Linked DNA regions of Callithrix jacchus. The protein of the gene in region 1 purifies or fractionates together with the protein of each later gene. This does not show direct contact. Links are inferred from orthologs where the notes say so. Each region holds a gene or a part of one and is shown on either strand. Other genes may lie near its edges.

Region 1 (3,515 bases):
AGTAGGAGCCAGATCTGTGGTTTTTTTTTTTTCTTTCAGATCTGTGTTTTAATCTAGGCCTTCTATTTAACTAAATTTCTGACTCTGGAGATGACTTCAACTCTTTGGGCTTCAGCTTTTCAAAATCTGTAACATGAAGTGGTTGGGTCACTACTGCACACATTTTAACCAGTTACATAACAAATTAGTCCATAATTGTCACAATAAATTACAGTTGTCCATCAGTATCCCTGGGGGTTGGTTCCAGGACCTATGGCAGAAACCAACATGCCCAGGTACTCAACTCACTTATATAAAATGACAGAGGCAGGCTGGGCGCGGTGGCTCACGCCTGTAATCCCAGCACTTTGGGAGGCCTAGGCGGGTGGATCACGAGGTCGAGAGATCGAGACCATCCTGGTCAACATAGTGAAACCCCGTCTCTACTAAGAATACAAAAAAATTAGCTGGGCATGGTGGCACGTGTCTGTAATCCCAGCTACTCAGGAGGCTGAGGCAGGAGAATTGCCTGAACCCAGGAGGCGGAGGTTGAGGTGAGCCGAGATCACACCATTGCACTCCAGCCTGGGTAACAAGAGTGAAAATCCGTCTCAAAAGAAAAAAAAAAAAAAAAATGACAGAGGCTTTGCATAAAACTTATACACATTTTCCATATACTTTAAATCATTTAAATACCTAATATTAGGTATTAAGTATAATACCTAATATGTTGTAAATGCTATGTATACAGTTGTTATACTGTATTGTTTAAGGAATAATAAGAAAAAGAAGTCTGTACGTTAGGTATAGATGTAATTTTTTTCCCCAAATATCTCCAATCTGTGATTGGTTAAATCCATGGATGTAGAACCCATGGATATCGAAGGGCTGGCTGTATATTAACTATGTATCATATAGTTACAATAAATAAGGATAAAAATTAAATGTAATAATAAAATTATTTCAAGGTGTCAATGGTAAATCATTATACTGAATCTGTTTAATAGTCTTGCTGATAAAACTAAAGTTTACCCTAAAGGTAAATAACAACAAATATACTAACCTTCTGCTTATCTAAGATCTTCATGGCATAATACTGTTCAGTGGCTTTGTGTTTTACCAACATGACTCTTCCAAATGAACCTGTTCCAAGGGTTTTTTTCCTTTCAAAATCTTCAAGTCCAGCATTACTCTGCATATAAATATATAAATAAAATTAAAACTTCTCATAAAAACACTATGAGAATTAGAAATGCTTTAATAATACATAATCATAATGGATGATTCAATTTATAACTACCCATTTAAAAGCAATACAAAAGGCTATTGAGATTCCACGTTATTGGTTCTGTTTTTCCCTTTGAACAAGAAAGGATTTAATATCTGAGGAGAGATATTAAATATTTCAGCCTCAGCTGAAATATTAAAGATTGCATGCCAGTATGCACTCCTAGTATTGAAATTTTAATCTTAGTACTGAACTTCTAATAAATCATTTTCATATTTTAATAATTACAAACTGACTAGAGGCATACTGGCAGTCATAGAAGCCATACAGACTTAATGCACTTGCAAATAACTGTAATGAATAGATAAACTAAGGAATCAGAGCCCTTTCACTAAAGTTACCTATGAAGAAATCTGTCTTGCTTCATTTCTGTCTTATATAAGCTTGTAGAACTATATAATAGCAGCATGAGAGAGCCTACTGGCTTTCTCTCTGTATGTTATAATAACACAGTATTATCTAAAACAGTAACAATAAGGAAAGAAGCGTTCCTCCTCCTACAAAGAACCAAAGCCAGAATCCCAGAACAATAATCAGGCTCTTCTTTTCTTGAATAGATGTTTTGTTATAAGGAAACATCTTTGTTTGGCTTTGACTACTAAAAAGAAGCAAATAATTGGAGGCATCAATCTATTAAATTTGTTCCTGCCACAACAAAATAAAAATTATTAGAACAATTTATGTGTTAAACAGCAACAAGTAGTAATTGCTGACCCATTTGTTTAATAGGTTTTCAATGCAAAGAACTCCATGAAAATATTGGAAAAATATTTTGAAGGCCCAGTATGCAGTGTTTAGCTTGAGAAAAATGTGATGCAATATGATTCTTCATCCAGTGAGGAATCTGAATAGGTATTGGAGTTCACTGTAGTTGGACTGTATCTGTATTGCAAATCAAATGTTGCCTTTTGAGACCCATTTTAGCTTCCTGTTGGATCATAATGGAGAGCAAGCAATTCTGTTTTACTTATAACTTGTTTTCATCATATTTTGATTTCACAATTTAAAATTTAAAGTAATTTTTAATTATGAGATTTTTTTAGCAATGCAAAAACTCATAATTCTGATAGAATTAATTTAATTAATCTTTAATTTTAGGTTTTATCAACATAGATGGATTAAAATCTTACCATACTCCCAACTAAATAATTAAAACAAATTTTATTAATAGGCAACAGAAATGCTTTTTGCTCTTTATGGTTTTTTCATTGCTTTTCTTTGTATTATAAAAATGTTATCTTCCTTACTTATTGTTTCATGTTACACAATGTCTACATTTTGTAATCACAATGTTTAATATAATTGTGACTATGTTTTAACTTATAGGTCATACTCTAAATCTTGGTAGTAATGGCATCTTTAAATAACATTTACTTAGAATTCTTTAGTGAGAAAATACTTGAAATATAAACCTTTGAGCTAGAAAGAAAAGACTTTAAAATTTAATTTACTAATACAATTTATTCATTATTTATAACTCTAAAAAGATTATTTTTATAAAGTATAGATGGCTCTTCTTATATATAGTTTTTAGATCCCAGTTAAGATCTAAAAATACTTAAATTATCTAGGACATACCCCATCAAAATGATAAAAAAGATGCCTGTGTACCAGGAATGTTGGTGATAACCAAATTCTCTCTGATTGAGAATTTTAAACTGTACAAAAGAACTCTTATTTTTGTATTTAATAAAAATATTAAGTATGCTATTAAAGGCATAATTCAAAATTAATATATTAGAAAATATTAAAATTTTATAGCAATTGGAATTAGTATCAAAATTTATAATTAGGTATTATACTGGAAATTAGCTCCTTCTACAATTTAGATACATCAAGATTATTAATTAATACATCAAAGTATAACTAGCAAAATTCCCATTTTAGGCTTCTGTTTACTAAGACCACATGAAAATTAAAATTTCTGAAGTAATACATTTCTTAGGCAAGAATCATTATTTTATTAACACAAGACCTTTAAATTGTAGAAAAATCTAAATATTCCTTACCGGAGTTGGATTCTCCCATTTTTTCAAAAAGTCTTCTTTGGCTTTGGCTAGAAACTCTTTCACTGAAAATATACATATAAAAACAAATTTGCCTTGTAAGAATATTTAATTATGTCTTAGAATATTTATATTATATGTTTTCTTGCTTAAGAAAACAATCATGTCATCTATTGTGATTAAAATGTATATTTATCACCATGATACATCAGAGAGCTATTTAGTATCTCTAAGAACTTTCT
Region 2 (4,006 bases), on another chromosome or scaffold:
CCATCTTGGACAAGTACCGCCATTTTAAGTTTCCCTTGATTAAAAACCGCCTAAATCCAGCCCTAAAAACAGCCTAACGGCTAATATCAGCATGACCATAAACCACAATGACACCTTCAACCAGAAACATTCCAACCCAGAGATAAACCCTTCTCTACCAGAAACATGCCAGCCCGAAGATAACCTCCCCTCTGACCAGAGATATGCCAGCCCTGAGATAAACTCCCCTTGGACCAGACATTCCATCCCCGGCAATAAAACTCTCTTCCACCCAGAAACATTCCATGCCTGCAATAAGCTCTCCCTCCCTAAATCATTGAATGTCTTTAGTCTGTAAGAGAGAACGCTCCTGACCGAAGTCAGCCAGAAGCCCCTCTCAGTTTTATTCTCCAAGATAAACCTGGCTTTGTTAAGAGGCTTTTTGTGTTACTTTCTTCTTTCTTAACTCTTACAGATTCCAACTCCAGGATCAAGAAAGTTTCCTTTCTCATTTCTTCTTCCCTCAAATGCACTAGAAAAGGTCCTTATTTAGGACCTCTGAATTCGTGCTTTCCTTTTCCTGGAATGCTCTACGCTGACTTTTGCATGACTGTTATTCAAATCCCTGCTAAAGGGTCTCCTCTTCAAAAGGGCAGCCCCTTTACTAGCCACTCAATCACCATCTGGTCACTTCTTGTAACTTCTTTGCATACAGCTTAAAACCAACAGATTTTTTCCCCTTCTTTTCACCTTCAGATAAGTTCCCTAGAAGCTACACTATTTGTCGTCATCATTGCTTAATAGACAGCGTGTAGCAGTGTCTGCTGAATGAAGAACAAATGAATGCACCCTTTTCTTCCCTGACCCTCTCCTCCGAACAGGGCCAAACTTAACTCATAATCAGGACACTCTCAAAAATGTCTTTCTCCTTGCCAGGTGTTTGCACTCTTGAAAAATGCTTTCGAGGAGACAGGGCAATCTGACTGGACTGGCCCTTCAGATTTTAGGTGAAAATAATCAGCATAATAGCTTTTCATCTCTGGCTAGGCTTCCCAGTGACTAAAGCTTTACTTTCTGATTTCCGTATCATGTAAAGACATCAGAGTGAGCACTAGGGGCCCTGAGAATCCTGGTGCTACTGGGTGCACTAGGGCCCTGAGAATCTTGGCTGGGATAGGACCGGAGGCCCTGGGCGCTGTGAGTAGTCCTCCCTGGAGATGCTGGGAGAAGGGGCGGAGCCATCAGAAAGGATGGCCCATCCTTGGGCAGTCAGATCTGGTGGGGCTGCCACTTTGGGAAGGGCTTGGGGCTTCGGAAGAAAACAAAACTAGCCTTGTGGCGAAGAAGGAGCCCAGCTAACCCCAGGCGGCAAGACCAAGGGGTCGACGGAAAAGAGACAGAGCCTGAAAGCAAACCTGCGGAGCAAGCCAAGGCCTGGGGACTTGCCAGAGGAAAGGGTTAAGCCGTTTCCAAGGCAACGGACCAGGAAGCGCGCAAGACGTCCGCCGCAGGTTCGTAGGTCAGCCTCGAATTTAAAGCTCCCACGGCTGAGCAGGTCCTGGCCAATGGAAAGGCCGCCTCTAGGTCATGTGACCGGCGGGCCTGCTCCGCTAGCTGCTCCGGAGCACGTGGGGAGGCTTTTTTTCCTGTTCCTTCTTTCCCTTTTTAAACGCCCACCCACTTTTGCGCGGGCTCGCCGCGGGGTTCTTCTCGCGAGAGGCGCGTTTTCCTCTCGCGAGAGTGAGTGGGAGGCGTGGAGAGTAGGCGGTGTTGCGGGCCGGAGCTGCGGCGGCTGCGGCGGCGGCAGCGGCGGCGGAAGCCGAGGGGTGGGCAGGGCGGGACGCGGGGCTGGGAGGGGGGAGGGCTGGGGGCCGGCGCGGGACGGGGCCAGCCTGCTCGCCCGGCTCGCTCTCGGCTCGTTGCGGCCGGTGACATGTCCGTGAGCTGCGGAGGCTGCGGCCCCCAGGTGAGCCGGGCGCCGACTAGCCCGCAGCGAAGGCTGCGCTTAGCTGGGGTGGCGGCGGGTGTGCTGCCAGCATGGATGGAGCGGGCCCGGCTCTGTCGCCGCAACCCCTCCGCCTTTCCGTGGTTCCCCTTCTGGCTTCGGGGCCGCGGGAGAGCTGCGCCTTCGCATGGCGGAGGGAGGAGGGCGGGAGGAGCGCGGCCGAGAGAGGAAGCCCAAGGCACCGGGCCCGTGGTAGAGGGTGGTGCTCGGGCTGGAGAAGCGTCTTCCTGGGGTCCCTGCGGTGGGGATGGAGCTGCCGCCCGTTTTAGTGACAGGCTCTTTTCATCCCCGGGGTGGTCTTCAGAGACGTGTGCGTGGTGCGCGTGCTTAGTGTGTGTTCGTGGTGTGCGCACAGGAGCATTTGCAGCCGGAGGACGACGTTACACTTTGTCCCCGAACAGCATCCTTCACTGTCAGAACCCCGGAGCCCTGGAAGCAGGCGCTGCTCAGATCTTGTGACAGAAACGGAAGGCGTCAAACGGCTCCTCACAGTATTGATATATGGATTCGCTGTCAAATACCCTCCTAGGCTTTTAATGACTTAGCAGCTGGCCACAAAGTACTCCGAATGGATTGGATGTACTGCTATTAATCCAGGCGTCTAAGCCACTTTATTAAGAAAAAAAAAATACGTAGATGTAACCGAAGTATTAAAAAAAATAAATAAATGACAACGACAGTAAAAGCTAACATTTTTTTCTCCTCCCCATATTACCGGCTTACATTTGTTTTCCGCTTTCTCTGTCTTCTAAAACCATATAAAGTTGGATGCGGTTTAGCTTTAGATGTTACGGAGTTTCATGTTGAGAAAGAGTGCTGAGACACGTATCTAATAGCTTTAGTACAAACCATAGTTAATTGCTGTTCTCTTTTCAGCTTTCAATGGCTTGCAAAATGCTTGTTTTGCTTAGCTCTTCCCACTTTTTTAGAAATGTTATGTTGTGATTTCATTATGTTTGAAAATACTCAAAACATAGAGTACTAAGAAAAATGGGGTACTCAGTAATGCAAAGATAGTATTTTTATGTCATGATTTTAGAATGGCAGCCCAGTGCCTAGCATGATTGGTGTCAGTTAAAATAGTCCAGTTTAATGATTTTTTTTTAAACACACAGTTTTTTCAAATGGTACCTTGATTATTCATTTTGTTGTTGTTGTTTCTTCTGACAAAATTGTGACCCGGGGTGAACAGTGAATGTCACCATTAATTGTAGCTGTACCAGTAGTTTATGAAAGGTCAAAGAATGTAAGGGAATCGGGGAAGAAGTGGGCTCCCACGCTGGCCTAGTGACTAGTGTATGTGCCTGCATAATGGCACTGTGGATAAGATTGAAGACAGCCCAGCAGTGTACCCTAGGCCAGTGATACTTTGCAGTTGTTGAGGATATAGTAAGTTGCCTAAGACATGGAACCCCAATGAGAAATTCTCTAGCCTTCTGTAGCCCCCTGAAATCCAAGGGTAAGTCTAGAAGCTAGAGAAGTCCTCTTTTGCCTTTAGAGGCTGGAAAAATGAGGAACTTTTAATTTTTTAATTTTAGGAACTTACTGTCTGGAAAAGGAGCTCAAACCAATTTGGACAGTATACGAAAGGCCGTTGTAGAGAAATGGCCGGTTATAAATAGGTAGAAGAAGTCTGTCTGTTCTTAACAAAAATGTGAAAGACAGAAGATCTCTCATTGTGAATTGGCAAAGGATACCACTGTTGATTAGAAGAAATTTCTTCTCTTTCCATCTTAGCAAACTAATTTTCAGAAATAGAAAAATAATGTTTTTGGCTTGTCTTCATAACTTTTTGGCAAAGGTTTCAAACATTTAGCATGTGTATTTGGTTTTTCAAAAGTAATTCTAACTTTTGATAGGGTAACTGTTTTTATTCTGTTTTTCTTTTTTCTGTCTTGTTTGCATTTTTACTAATCAACTACTTGGAAGGATTGAAGGGTGAGGACAGATGAATAAAGATCTAAGTTTAGCCTGGGCGTGAGTTAAGGGTCAATAAGCTGGTAATATGGGGAAGAGAAAGAA
Region 3 (3,515 bases), on another chromosome or scaffold:
GTTCCTCCCCTGCAACGAGTTTGAATAGGATAGGTGTTCAGTTGTGTGCCAGGATGCTTTCAGCTGCAAGCAACAGAATGAGAGTAGCAACTGACGGTAACAACAGGGATTGTGTTTTCTCACCTAACAAGAAACCCAGAGGCAGGTAGTTCCAAGGTAGGTTTATGGCTCAGTGACAGCAGAGTTTGGGTTACTATCTGTGATGACTGCAGTAGTTACAATCATCCCAGTCTCTTAGACGGTGTCCAAAGCATGGGAAAGAAGAAGGTGGGGCCCCTTCCTGTCCTCTTTTCATGCTGGTGGAAAATCTTTCCCAGAAGACCCCGGCAGACTTCCTGTCAGGCCTCATTGGCCAGAAGTGGCACATGACCGTGTCCTCAATGCAGGGTGGCTAGGAAAGCAGGAATCTGGCATTTTGGCTCTGTGGTGTAGTAAGTGGACCCAATGAGTGTGGAGGACATGGAGGGAAGCATCTGCCTGCCACATAGAGAAGGCACCTTGCACACAGTAGGTGCTCTCCTGAGGGTGGCAGTGAACTTGAATGTTATCTGTGGAGTAGAGGTGTCTAAACTAAGAAGATGGCCCTTGCGTTTTGTTGTGTGATTGTCCTTTGCCATGGTGGGTCATCAGATGTTTCTGAATAGACAGTTACTTGAATGGACTTTGTTTGGGATAATAACCTGTAAGCACTGGCAGAATAACGGGGAGACAGGGTTAGAGAGCAAAGTGATAAGGCCTGAACTTTAGGATGAAAAAAGGGTAGGTCAGTGTTGGAAGCATTTTGGAGGAAGCAGCAGCAGTTGTGATTCCCTGATTGGGCAGTGGAAGAGAGAAGGGTTTAGGATGGCTCCCAGCTTTCTAGCTTGGGTTAGGGATTGTGGCGATACCATCTCATTAGGCAGGAAACAGGTGAGAGAGAGCAGGTTTGGAAGGATGAGGAGTTCAGCTTTGGCTCTGTGGACTGAGTGACAGAGTTGCCTCAGTGGTGAGGTGTGGCAGGCAGCTGGATATGTAAATTTTGACCTTGGGAGAGACATCTGTGAAGGTGAAGACTCTCACTTGCTCACCCCACTCCTGGTCCAAGTCTTCTGCTTTGTTCTCCCTTAGGTAAGATGTGGGGGAGCCCCTCTTGCCCCCTTTTTCAGGCTTACTCTCATTTCTCTTTGGCCTCTGGTAGTTTCTTACATAGTTAACAGAAGCGATTGTCATTGTATGTTGTGTTAACTCATTGTTTAAAACTGTTTTCTAGAAAGTTCCATCTCTGCTGATCTAAAGACTGTTTATAAATCAGTCTTCATGTGTGTTTTTTTAGGTTCTACAAACATTTTTGCTTCTGGTTCCGAGCTTCATAGTTCTCTAACATCAGAAATTCATTTCTTGAGGAAGCAGAACGAGGCCCTCAATGCAATGCTCATTAAAGGATCCAGAGGTAAGAATTAAAGGAGTCACTGGAAGCCTGGAATGCCAAAGCCTTCTGTGACATGGAAAGAATGCAGGCATTGGAGTCTGACCAACCTAAGTATGAATTCTGTGGCTCTGCGATGGCTTTACACCATTTAATTGTCACAGTAGCCCTGTGAGGTGTTCCTGTTTTGTAGCTGAGAACACTGGAATCAGAGAGGTGCTGGAATACCTCATAGGGCTGTTGTGACAATTGAATGATGTAGTGTCTCTAATAGGGACTCAGTAAGTGTGTTACTTCATTTGCTTGTCACTCATCCCCTCTATAGCCACGTGTCTTTCCTCCTAGTTCACAGTGGGGGAAAGAAGGGCTGGAAACACAATACTGCCAAAATCTCCACAAGAGAATTCCTGCTATCAGCAAGATTTATCCTATACTTTTTATAAAGATCCATTATCTTACTTCCTTCTATTTGGAGCTTGGCTCCTAAAAAGCTTTCACTTACATTATCTTTCACTATTGAAAACAATTCTGGGATAATGTATCATTAGCCCTATTTGACAGGTAAGAAACAGGCTTAGAGAATTGCCCGGCCTGTGGTCACAGAGCTAGAAGGTGGTACAGCTAGAACTTGAGCCAGCTTATTCCACTTTTCCTAAAAGGATATTGATGTTCCTTTTGGCTTAAGAGATGAAATTGGGGCTTCAGTCAGTCAGTCATTCACTCAGCAGACATTTCCTATCTCCTGTTCTACTTCAGGGCCATGTAGACTCTGATACAGAAATGAAAGAGATTTCATCCCTTCCTTCAGTGAGCTCATAATCGGATGGAAGAGACAGCCAGACAATCATGGCAGGCCAGTGTGAACCGCTGCCATGATAAAGTCAGACTATGGGAACTGCAGGACCCTAGAGAAGGCATCCTGACTCAGGAAAAGCTTGCCTTGAGAACGGAGTCGAGGAGGGCTTAGTGAAGGTGCCAAAGATTGAGAGGAGCCAGGGCCCTTTAAATAGAAGGAAGAGAGCAGACAAAGGCCCGGTGGTTAGCAATGAAGAGAGACCAGGCCTTTCGGGAAGTGAAGGAAGCATGACGTGTCTGGAGCTTGAGGGGAGAGGTGAATGCTTGCTTAGAAATTATCTTGTCATGGTTAAGAATGGAGTCAGAAAACCTGAGTCCGAATTCTGGCTCTGCCACCTACTGGCCGTGTGACCTTAAGGAAGTTTCTTATCTGGAAAGCAGAAAATAATAGTGCCTGCCTTGGAAGTCAGCCCTGAAGATTAACCAGGGCACTGCATGTCAAGGCCCCAATGTCATACCTGCACAGGTAGTGCTGGTGCAGCTCAGCTGTTACCACCACCAGCACTGCTGGCAACTGAGCCTGATGGAGCTTCCAGCCCCCAGAGTGCTCCTGAAGACCTGTGGTAAACCTTTTATAGATGGCAACCAGTTAATCCACACAATAACACCTGTGAGGAAACACATTTTATAGCTGGTAGCTCAGTTAATCCCCGTAATAACACATATGGAGAAGTGAAGAGCCTCCTCACTCAAGGTTATGAAGTCAGGAAATGGAGAAGCCGCTCTTGAATATGGCCTCTCTGCCTCAAGCACTGTGCTCTTGACCACGGTGTCTCTTGTACCTCTGGGTGTATTTCATTCCTCAGGAGAGGTGCTGTCCTCAGCCTCAGGAGTGAATGGGCCTCAAGGTACCATCTGTACAGCCCTGCTGGCCTCCTGGGGCTAGGTTGGTAGAAGGCCTGTGGCCAGTCCAACACCCATTCCCAGAGTTCTGGGCCCTGTGTTTTCCTCTGTCTGTACTTTCTACCTGCTGCTCTGTGAAGGCAAAATAACTAGGTTTACATGGCCTGTTGTTTAATAGAAAATTAAACAGACCCATTTTATCCCAGTGACGTTTAATCTGCAGCCTTGATGTTGACAAATTTATCTGCCCAAAGTGTGTAAGACAATTGGAATGCCAAAATCATAAATGCCACATCGAATCTCATTCTTTTTTGTATTCTTGAAGTGCTGTATTTATATAATAAGGTTGGAAAAAACAAATGGTGGCCCTTCTCAGTGGCGCCTTTTTGTGTTTGCAGATAAACAGAAGGAG
Region 4 (3,515 bases), on another chromosome or scaffold:
GCACACGAATGACATTATTTACCTTTTATTCCCAGAAAAATCATTCTTTTCTCAAGAAGGAAATCATTTTCTCAAGAATACAAGATGATGGTTCTGAAAAAGCTTCTCTGTTTTTGGAAAGAGCATTAATTTGTTGCAGCTCCATTTATCTATAGGCAGTCATTTCCTTCGATCATTTTTTGTTTTTTTGTTTTTTTTTCGAGACAGAGTTTCGCTGTTGTTACCCAGACTGGAGTGCAATGGCACAATCTCGACTCACCACAACCTCCGCCTTCTGGGTTCAAGCAATTCTCCTGCCTCAGCCTCCTGAGTAGCTGGGATTACAGGCACGAGCCACCATGCCCAGCTAATTTTTTGTATTTTTAGCAGAGACGGGGTTTCACCATGTTGACCAGGATGGTCTCAATCTCTTGACCTCGTGATCCACCCGCCTCGGCCTCCCAAAGTGCTGGAAATATAGGCATGAGCCACCGCGCCTGGACTTCCTTGGATAGTTTTATTAGAATATATAAGTGCCTTGAATTTAGCTATGTATTTTTTAAATGATGTGTTTCTTGTATTTTCCACTGTCATTCAGACAACTGCTAAACTATTTCATACCAATGAAGAAAGTGGATTTTTTAATGAACTTGAGGCTCTTAGAGCTGAATCAGTGGCTACCAAAGCAGAACTTGACAGTTATAAAGAAAAGACTGAAAAACTTCAAGAAGAACTTTTGGTAAGATAAGTAACATAGCTCCTTAATTTACTGACTTCTACCTATCTTAGTTTCGTTTCAAAGTATATACTCTTCTGTAAAAATAAATCAAGCTCTGTAACTTAAAAGCTAGATTAAAAAGTCTTTTGTGGATTTGGTGAAAACTTTCATTGTTATAAATTTCTTTACCAACATCTTCTTGCTTGATTTTCTTGGAAATCTTTGTTAGGAGGATACTTTTTATTGCCATTCTGTTAATGAAAGAGTAGAAAGTTGTTAAAGAGAACTGTAGAAGCTGATAGAATTATTTCACTTCTATATTAATCTATGACCCTACCTACATACAAATATATATGTAGACTATGAGTGTTTCTGAAATGTTTTTCCTGCTACTCTGAGGAAAATGAACATATAATCATTAATTACACTCTTCTTACCCCCTTTAAATTCTATACTTAATATGGAAAGATTTTAACCAAATGCCCTACCGTTCTGTTCATTATGTTTTAGGTAAAAGAAACAAATATGGTATCTCTTCAAAAGGACTTAAGCCAAGTTAGGGATCACCTTACAGAGGCAAAAGAGAAATTGTCCATTTTAGAAAAAGAAGATGAGATTGAGGTACAAGAAAACAAAAAGATCTGCATGTTCGAGCCACGTCCTATAAAATTGAGTAAGAGCATTGCATCCCAGACAGATGGGACTCTGAAGGTCAATAGCAGCAATCAGACTCCACAAATTCTTGTTAAAAATGCAGGAATACAAATTGATTTACAGAGTGAATGTTCCTCAGAAGAAGTTACTGAAATAATCAATCAGTTTACTGAAAAAATTGAGCAGATGCAAGAACTACATGCTGCTGAAATTTTGGACATGGAATCTAGACATATTTCAGAGACTGAAACCTTAAAGAGGGAACACTATGTTGCTGTTCACTTGCTGACAGAGGAATGTGGTACCTTGAAGGCAGTGATACAGTGTCTGAGAAGTAAAGAGGTATTTGGTTTTTATAATATGTGTTTTTCAATAGTTTGCTTTTAAAAGAAAATTTTAAAAACTTGGGGCAGTCTCTTCCTTATGATACTATCACAATTTTAATAGTTTTTAAACTGTTTTAAATTTAAATAATTTTTAGTTTACAATGTTGTAAATGTTTTCATTGTGTAGAGTTAATGTACGATGTTCCTGTATGGATTTGGAACATGTTATCATTACTTAATTCATGAATGTCTCTTCTTATTGTAATATTCATGAAAAAATAGACATGTTAAAAACCATGAATAGTTTCATTTATTATGAAAGGTGTGACAGATTTGATTGATTTCTTTACAGCATTAGAAACCAGCAAAATAATTCATTGTATTCTATTTTTATTAAAGCAAAGAAACGTATTTTTTTCCCTCTAATTAGGGATCCTCAATTCCTGAATTAACACATTCTGATGCTTACCAAACTAGAGAAATATGCTCCAGTGGTAAGTTATATAAATATCTGTAATGTTTCTAGTATTTATTTAAGGAGTACTGGTTTTTTGCGGACTGGGGGTTGATTTTTTTTTTAACAGCAAATGATTTTCTTTTATTTTAGATTCTGGATCGGACTGGGGTCAGGGAATTTATCTTACACACAGTCAGGGATTTGACACAGCATCAGAAGGCCGAGGAGAAGAAGGTGAAAGTTCAATAGATTCCTTTCCAAAGAAAATAAAGGTATTAAAACATAGATACCTTTTATTACCTTACCCAGTGTTGTTTCCATGTTGAACATAGCAGTTCATTAGAAGTTATATGGTGGGTTCATTTCTGAAGAGAGAATTGCATACCTGGAAGGAACCTGAGAGATCTATTTTATTTCCATATTTCACAGATAAGAGATTTAATGATGATATGTATGAAGACTTGTTTTCTTAATAATTCATATTCCTGATCTTTTTATTTGCCAGAATTTTTATAGTAATCTCAAAGAGTAGAAGTTAGATCCCATGTATTTCTTTTGGTCAAATCAGTGGCTTATCAGTAAACCTAGGGAGAGTACGTTAGCCAAACAGAAGGAACTTAGAGATGAGAGCTATGAAAAGTTGTAGGCCATCCACTGGATTCGGCCTACCCCTCCATAGGAAGAAGGTATTCAGTAATGTTGGGCTGGAGTTTTCTCTCTGCAGGATATCTTGCTTAAAATTTATTTCTCTGTGTATGTCTAATTTTTCAGTCCGTGAAGAAGTTGTCATAATTCTGGCTTTTGGGTTTTGTTTTCTAGGGATTACTGAGAGCTGTCCATAATGAAGGCATGCAGGTGCTTTCTCTCACTGAGTCGCCCTATAGTGATGGAGAGGACCATTCTATTCAGCAGGCTTCAGAATCTTGGCTAGAAGAGAGAAAAGCTTACCTCAGTATAATTTCATCACTTAAGGATTTGATTACCAAAATGCAACTGCAAAGAGAGGCTGAGGTACCCAAAGAATACTAAGCATGCACAGTAATAATACACTACAAATTAAATTATCTTTTATACATGTTTTTGCATGAATAGCTGTATATATTTTCACACTTCAAAATCAGCCAGGAGTGGCTCACACCTGTAATCCCAGCACTTTGGGAGACCAAGGTGGGTGGATCACCTGAGGTCAGGAATTCGAGACCAGTCTGGCCAACAAGTCAAAACCCCGTCTCTACTAAAAATACAAAACTTAGCCAGACATGGTGGCAGATGCCTGTAATCCCAGCTACTTGGGAGGCTGAGGCAGGAGGATTGCTTGAACCTGGAAGGTGGAGGTTTTAGTAAGCCGAGATCACACCACTGCACTCCAGCCTAGGCAACA
Region 5 (4,083 bases), on another chromosome or scaffold:
CCAGGAGGCGGAGGTTGTGGTGAGCCGAGATTGCGCTATTGCACTCCAGCCTGGGTAACAAGAGCGAAACTCCGTCTCAAAAAAAGAAAAAAAAAAAAAAAAGTTTGACCCAATTAGAAGTTCTTTATTACTATATATTTAAAAACAACATTATTACTATGAAGTTGATAAGAAATGAAAATAGAGAAATACAGTGGCTCATGGAGTGAATATAGGGTGCATCATTAACAAAAGGTTAACATCAAGATCCATTTTTACCAAAGGGCCTAGTTTGTTACAGCTCTGATTTCTAGTCCCCAGTCATGTGTTTACTCTTCCGTGGGTGGGAAGATAAATCTGAATAAGCAAGCGAGCTTGCTTTTAAACTATTTTATTTACAATGATATGGTAATTGTAAAAAATGAAGTATGCGTACTTAAATAATATTTAATTGACAAAAGTCAATTCTTTCTACTTCAAAATTGTAAACATTTGCAAAGTGAGCCTAATTTCAAAGTGAAAAACTTCTACTTTAAAAGCACACATTCGTCATTCTATTTTCCTTGATACCGAAGTGTTTCAATTTTTGGAGATGAAGTCAAAATCACTCAAAGTATAAAGTTTTAAAATAATCAGCGCCTCACCCAGCACTATCCTATTTGAAGGAGATCGACTAATTTCGATAGGTGCCTCACAATAAATGGTGCCTTTGTCTCAGTAAATAGTAAATGCATGGAGTGCACAACGAAATAGCATCAGTAAGGCAAAAAGATAATAAACAGGATGGGTGAGGAAAGGCTGGATAAAATGTGGTGGAAGAAAAAGAAAGACGTCACAAAGATGGGGTAGCATTTCTTTGTCCAAAAGAGAACCAGTACCACCATAAGCCTTCAAACAAAGGACATTAACAACACTTATCATGCAGCTAGATTCTAAAAGGAAAATAAAATGCCACTACTAAGGTGGAGGCTGAAGTTTCACGACAAATCGCTTGGCACCAGCTTTGCGTGGGAAGCGGGGCGAGTGGCTAGCAAGCTCCCGGACACGCGGACAGGTGGACACCGAGGCGGCCTCGCGAGGGCTCCCCTCCCAGCCCTCGGCGCGCCGCCCGCCAGCGCATTCCACCCTGGCGCGGTCAGAACCGCGGGTGCGCGGCGCCTGCCGGCGGAGGTTGCCATGGTTTCCGGGGGTCACGTGGGCGCGCTCTCCCGCGCCCCCTCCCGCGCGCCGCGGTGGGGCGGGGGCGGGGCGACCGGGCGGGGGAGAGGCGCGGTCGCGGCGGGACCGGGAGGAGCAGGAGATGCTGCCAGCCTTCCCGGGGCCGCGCTCGCTCAGCCGCCGCCGCCACACGGAGCAGCCGCGCGCCAGGAGCCGCGGGCCGGGCCAGCCGGGCCGCCGGGGCCCAGTGCGCCGCGCTCGCAGCCGGTAGCGCCGCCAGCGCCGTTGGTACTCGTTAGGCAGCCGCTGGGCCCCAGGCCGGGCCGGGGAGGGGGCGAGGGCGGCGCCCGGGCGCCTGCCGCCGGGGAAGCAGGATGAGCATCGAGATTCCGGCGGGACTGACGGAGCTGCTGCAGGGCTTCACGGTAGAGGTGCTGAGGCACCAGCCCGCGGACCTGCTAGAGTTCGCGCTGCAGCACTTCACGCGCCTGCAGCAGGAGAACGAGCGCAAAGGCACCGCGCGCTTCAGCCATGAGGGCAGGACCTGGGGGGACACGGGCGCCGCTGCCGGGGGCGGCACCCCCAGCAAGGGGGTCAACTTCGCCGAGGAGCCCATGCACTCCGACTCCGAGGACGGGGAGGAGGAGGAGGCGGCGCCCGCAGACGCAGGGGCGTTCAATGGTGAGGACCGGACCCTCTCCGCGCCCACGGACCCCCTCACTGTCCCCTACCGCTCCCCACTGTGCTCTCGGATCCTGCTGCTTTGCGCACCCACCTCTCCACGCATTCGCCACCTTTTCCTACCTTCCCATCTCGCCCACCCCCTCAGCATCCATTTCTGTCTCTCCCAGTCGCCCACCTTCCTACTCTGCTCCCTTGTCATACCCTCTTCCCTTCCTCTGGAGGTGGGAGAGCTGGGAGGTTACGCTTTCCTCTGCCCTTCTGCCCCCTCTGCCTGGGCCGGTTGGGGTGGGCATCTGCTAGAAAGACAACTTTCGCTGTGGTTGGAGGTATTTCGCTTGGAGGATACCATCATTGTGCATAAAGAAACTGGCCCACTTGGCGTCTTCTTTCAGCTCTTGTATTAATGGAATGTCAAAAGAGAAAAGGCGAACGGTGTTTAATGTGACTGGCTTTACTGTTAGGACGGTAGATCATTGAAAGAGGCTTGAAATTGGACTCACTGGGGCAGAACAAAATTTATGGCCAATAGCTCTGACATCCTTAGATAAGAGTTGTCTGTTATTTTCCAATTTACCAATACCATGTTGTGTTATTTTTGGACATGTAACAAAGGATCCTATTAGTCTGAAACCCACGGGGGTCTTTGGAACGAGGAAACAGGTTAATTGTTTGCTTTTTATATAAAGAACATATTGAATTATTTGGTGCTTTATTTTTTTTTAAAGCGTATGAGAAAAAAAACAGTGTAGGAAGTTCTGAAGCCTTGTTGATTGTCTTTAGAATGAAAAGCCAGTGAGTAATTGTAAGGACTGTGCCAGACAGTAGAGCTAGAAAGAATGAATGGGAAAGAAAAAGGAATTTTCTCAAATAGCTGCTCCTGGCAAGTCCCACCCCTTTTGCTTACAACCTTCTTTCCCTAACACACCCAGACACACACCCTCATTTACAGCCCCCCTGTATTTACACAACATGCCCAAATCCCATTTTTATGGCAACCCAAGCTAAAATACCATGGAGTGCAATGTGCAAGTGTTTTCTCTTTGTGGTGTAAGGCAAACATGCATGCACCATTGCACCAGCTTTTATTTATTTACACTGCTTGTGGTTTGTGTGTCCGCAGTGTATTTCATAAAATGAAAACCTTTAAAAGTGTCATTTCATTCCCTTGTGTATGCTCCTAGGAAGATGTTTCTTTTCTTTGCGGGATTGCATGTTGAAATGGTTTATAAAATTAAGGTGTTTTTAGCTTGTCTAAATCTCAGAAACCCTGGAAATTAATGTTGCATGAAGATAAAAGTGAAACTTGTTACTTACAATTTTAATTTTGGACTTTTAAATGTTTCCCCAAGGGGATAATCATAGTCTTAATTGTTTTTGCACAAGAATCAAATCAAATGATTTTCTTACCAGAAACAAGAGAAAGATGAAAGAATGCATGTTTTAAATAGATAGGAAATAGCAGCCAGTAACGGATTACAGAAAGGGCAGAGGTATCTAATACTTCTTTTATGCTCTGGATGCATGCACACATGTTCATGCACACACACCAAGGGGAAAAAAAAGACTCTTTTCCCAGAAGAAAACTAGGAACTAAGGGACTTGGTAAAGATCTTATATATATTCTGTATGATATGTTGTTAATATAATCAGACTCTTTTGTTTGTATAAGAAATTTGAAGTACTTTCCTTTGATGATTCCATTTTCTTATTAAAATAATATATTGTGCGCAGAAGAGATTTAATGTTCATTTTGTAGTGAAGAAATAAGCTGTTAACTTCTGAACAGCAGGGATCATTTTATAGTCTCCAAGCCACCTTTACTGTAAAAATTGCTCAATGTGACTTAAACAAGTTAACCTTGTTAAACAATTGCTCTATTTACTCCCCAGCCTCAGCCCCAAGGACTTTAAAACTTTTTGACTGCAAACAGATAGGATTTGATCATTATCCCTGTGGCACATATATGTGTACAACTGAAACTTTGGCAATAGTACGGGTACTCCTTATGTCAGATGCAGTGCTTTTTGATATTTCCTATTTGAATCAATTATTTCTATTTTAAATTGTGTTGAGACCTGACTTTGAAAAGCATTTAATTATAGGCTACAAAGTGGTTGGCAAGTCTTTCCTGTAAAGGTCGGATAGTAAATGTTATAGACTTTGTGGGCAATGTATGGTCTTGATCAACTACTAATACTTCTTCCTTTCTTCTTTCTTTTCTTTTTTTTTTTTTTCAAACACATACACTTTCTGAGGGTTGGA

The links.
Region 2: the proteins of PRKACB (region 1) and AKAP11 purify together in Homo sapiens (affinity purification with mass spectrometry; 5 studies listed by BioGRID and IntAct, counting the BioPlex papers as one, with this or other methods). This does not show direct contact. The link is inferred for Callithrix jacchus from reciprocal best matches to the Homo sapiens genes PRKACB and AKAP11.
Region 3: the proteins of PRKACB (region 1) and CDK5RAP2 purify together in Homo sapiens (affinity purification with mass spectrometry; 4 studies listed by BioGRID and IntAct, counting the BioPlex papers as one, with this or other methods). This does not show direct contact. The link is inferred for Callithrix jacchus from reciprocal best matches to the Homo sapiens genes PRKACB and CDK5RAP2.
Region 4: the proteins of PRKACB (region 1) and AKAP9 purify together in Homo sapiens (affinity purification with mass spectrometry; 5 studies listed by BioGRID and IntAct, counting the BioPlex papers as one, with this or other methods). This does not show direct contact. The link is inferred for Callithrix jacchus from reciprocal best matches to the Homo sapiens genes PRKACB and AKAP9.
Region 5: the proteins of PRKACB (region 1) and PRKAR2B purify together in Homo sapiens (affinity purification with mass spectrometry; 7 studies listed by BioGRID and IntAct, counting the BioPlex papers as one, with this or other methods). This does not show direct contact. The link is inferred for Callithrix jacchus from reciprocal best matches to the Homo sapiens genes PRKACB and PRKAR2B.

The regions. Positions count from the first base shown.
Region 1 is NC_133508.1:121,402,537-121,406,051, reverse strand, and holds part of PRKACB (cAMP-dependent protein kinase catalytic subunit beta), read right to left. Parts: intron 3,339-3,515; coding exon 3,277-3,338; intron 1,172-3,276; coding exon 1,043-1,171; intron 1-1,042. UniProt on the Homo sapiens protein: Mediates cAMP-dependent signaling triggered by receptor binding to GPCRs.
Region 2 is NC_133506.1:161,378,237-161,382,242, forward strand, and holds the start of AKAP11 (A-kinase anchor protein 11), read left to right. Parts: upstream 1-1,202; 5' UTR 1,203-1,490; exon of another isoform or gene 1,491-1,501; intron 1,502-1,713; exon of another isoform or gene 1,714-1,945; intron 1,946-4,006. UniProt on the Homo sapiens protein: Binds to type II regulatory subunits of protein kinase A and anchors/targets them.
Region 3 is NC_133502.1:168,803,393-168,806,907, reverse strand, and holds part of CDK5RAP2 (CDK5 regulatory subunit-associated protein 2), read left to right. Parts: intron 1-1,312; coding exon 1,313-1,429; intron 1,430-3,501; coding exon 3,502-3,515. UniProt on the Homo sapiens protein: Potential regulator of CDK5 activity via its interaction with CDK5R1. Negative regulator of centriole disengagement (licensing) which maintains centriole engagement and cohesion. Involved in regulation of mitotic spindle orientation.
Region 4 is NC_133512.1:57,539,977-57,543,491, reverse strand, and holds part of AKAP9 (A-kinase anchor protein 9), read left to right. Parts: intron 1-577; coding exon 578-718; intron 719-1,207; coding exon 1,208-1,693; intron 1,694-2,107; coding exon 2,108-2,171; intron 2,172-2,284; coding exon 2,285-2,406; intron 2,407-2,953; coding exon 2,954-3,145; intron 3,146-3,515. UniProt on the Homo sapiens protein: Scaffolding protein that assembles several protein kinases and phosphatases on the centrosome and Golgi apparatus. Required to maintain the integrity of the Golgi apparatus. Required for microtubule nucleation at the cis-side of the Golgi apparatus.
Region 5 is NC_133512.1:77,495,527-77,499,609, forward strand, and holds the start of PRKAR2B (cAMP-dependent protein kinase type II-beta regulatory subunit), read left to right. Parts: upstream 1-1,274; 5' UTR 1,275-1,511; coding exon 1,512-1,818; intron 1,819-4,083. UniProt on the Homo sapiens protein: Regulatory subunit of the cAMP-dependent protein kinases involved in cAMP signaling in cells. Type II regulatory chains mediate membrane association by binding to anchoring proteins, including the MAP2 kinase.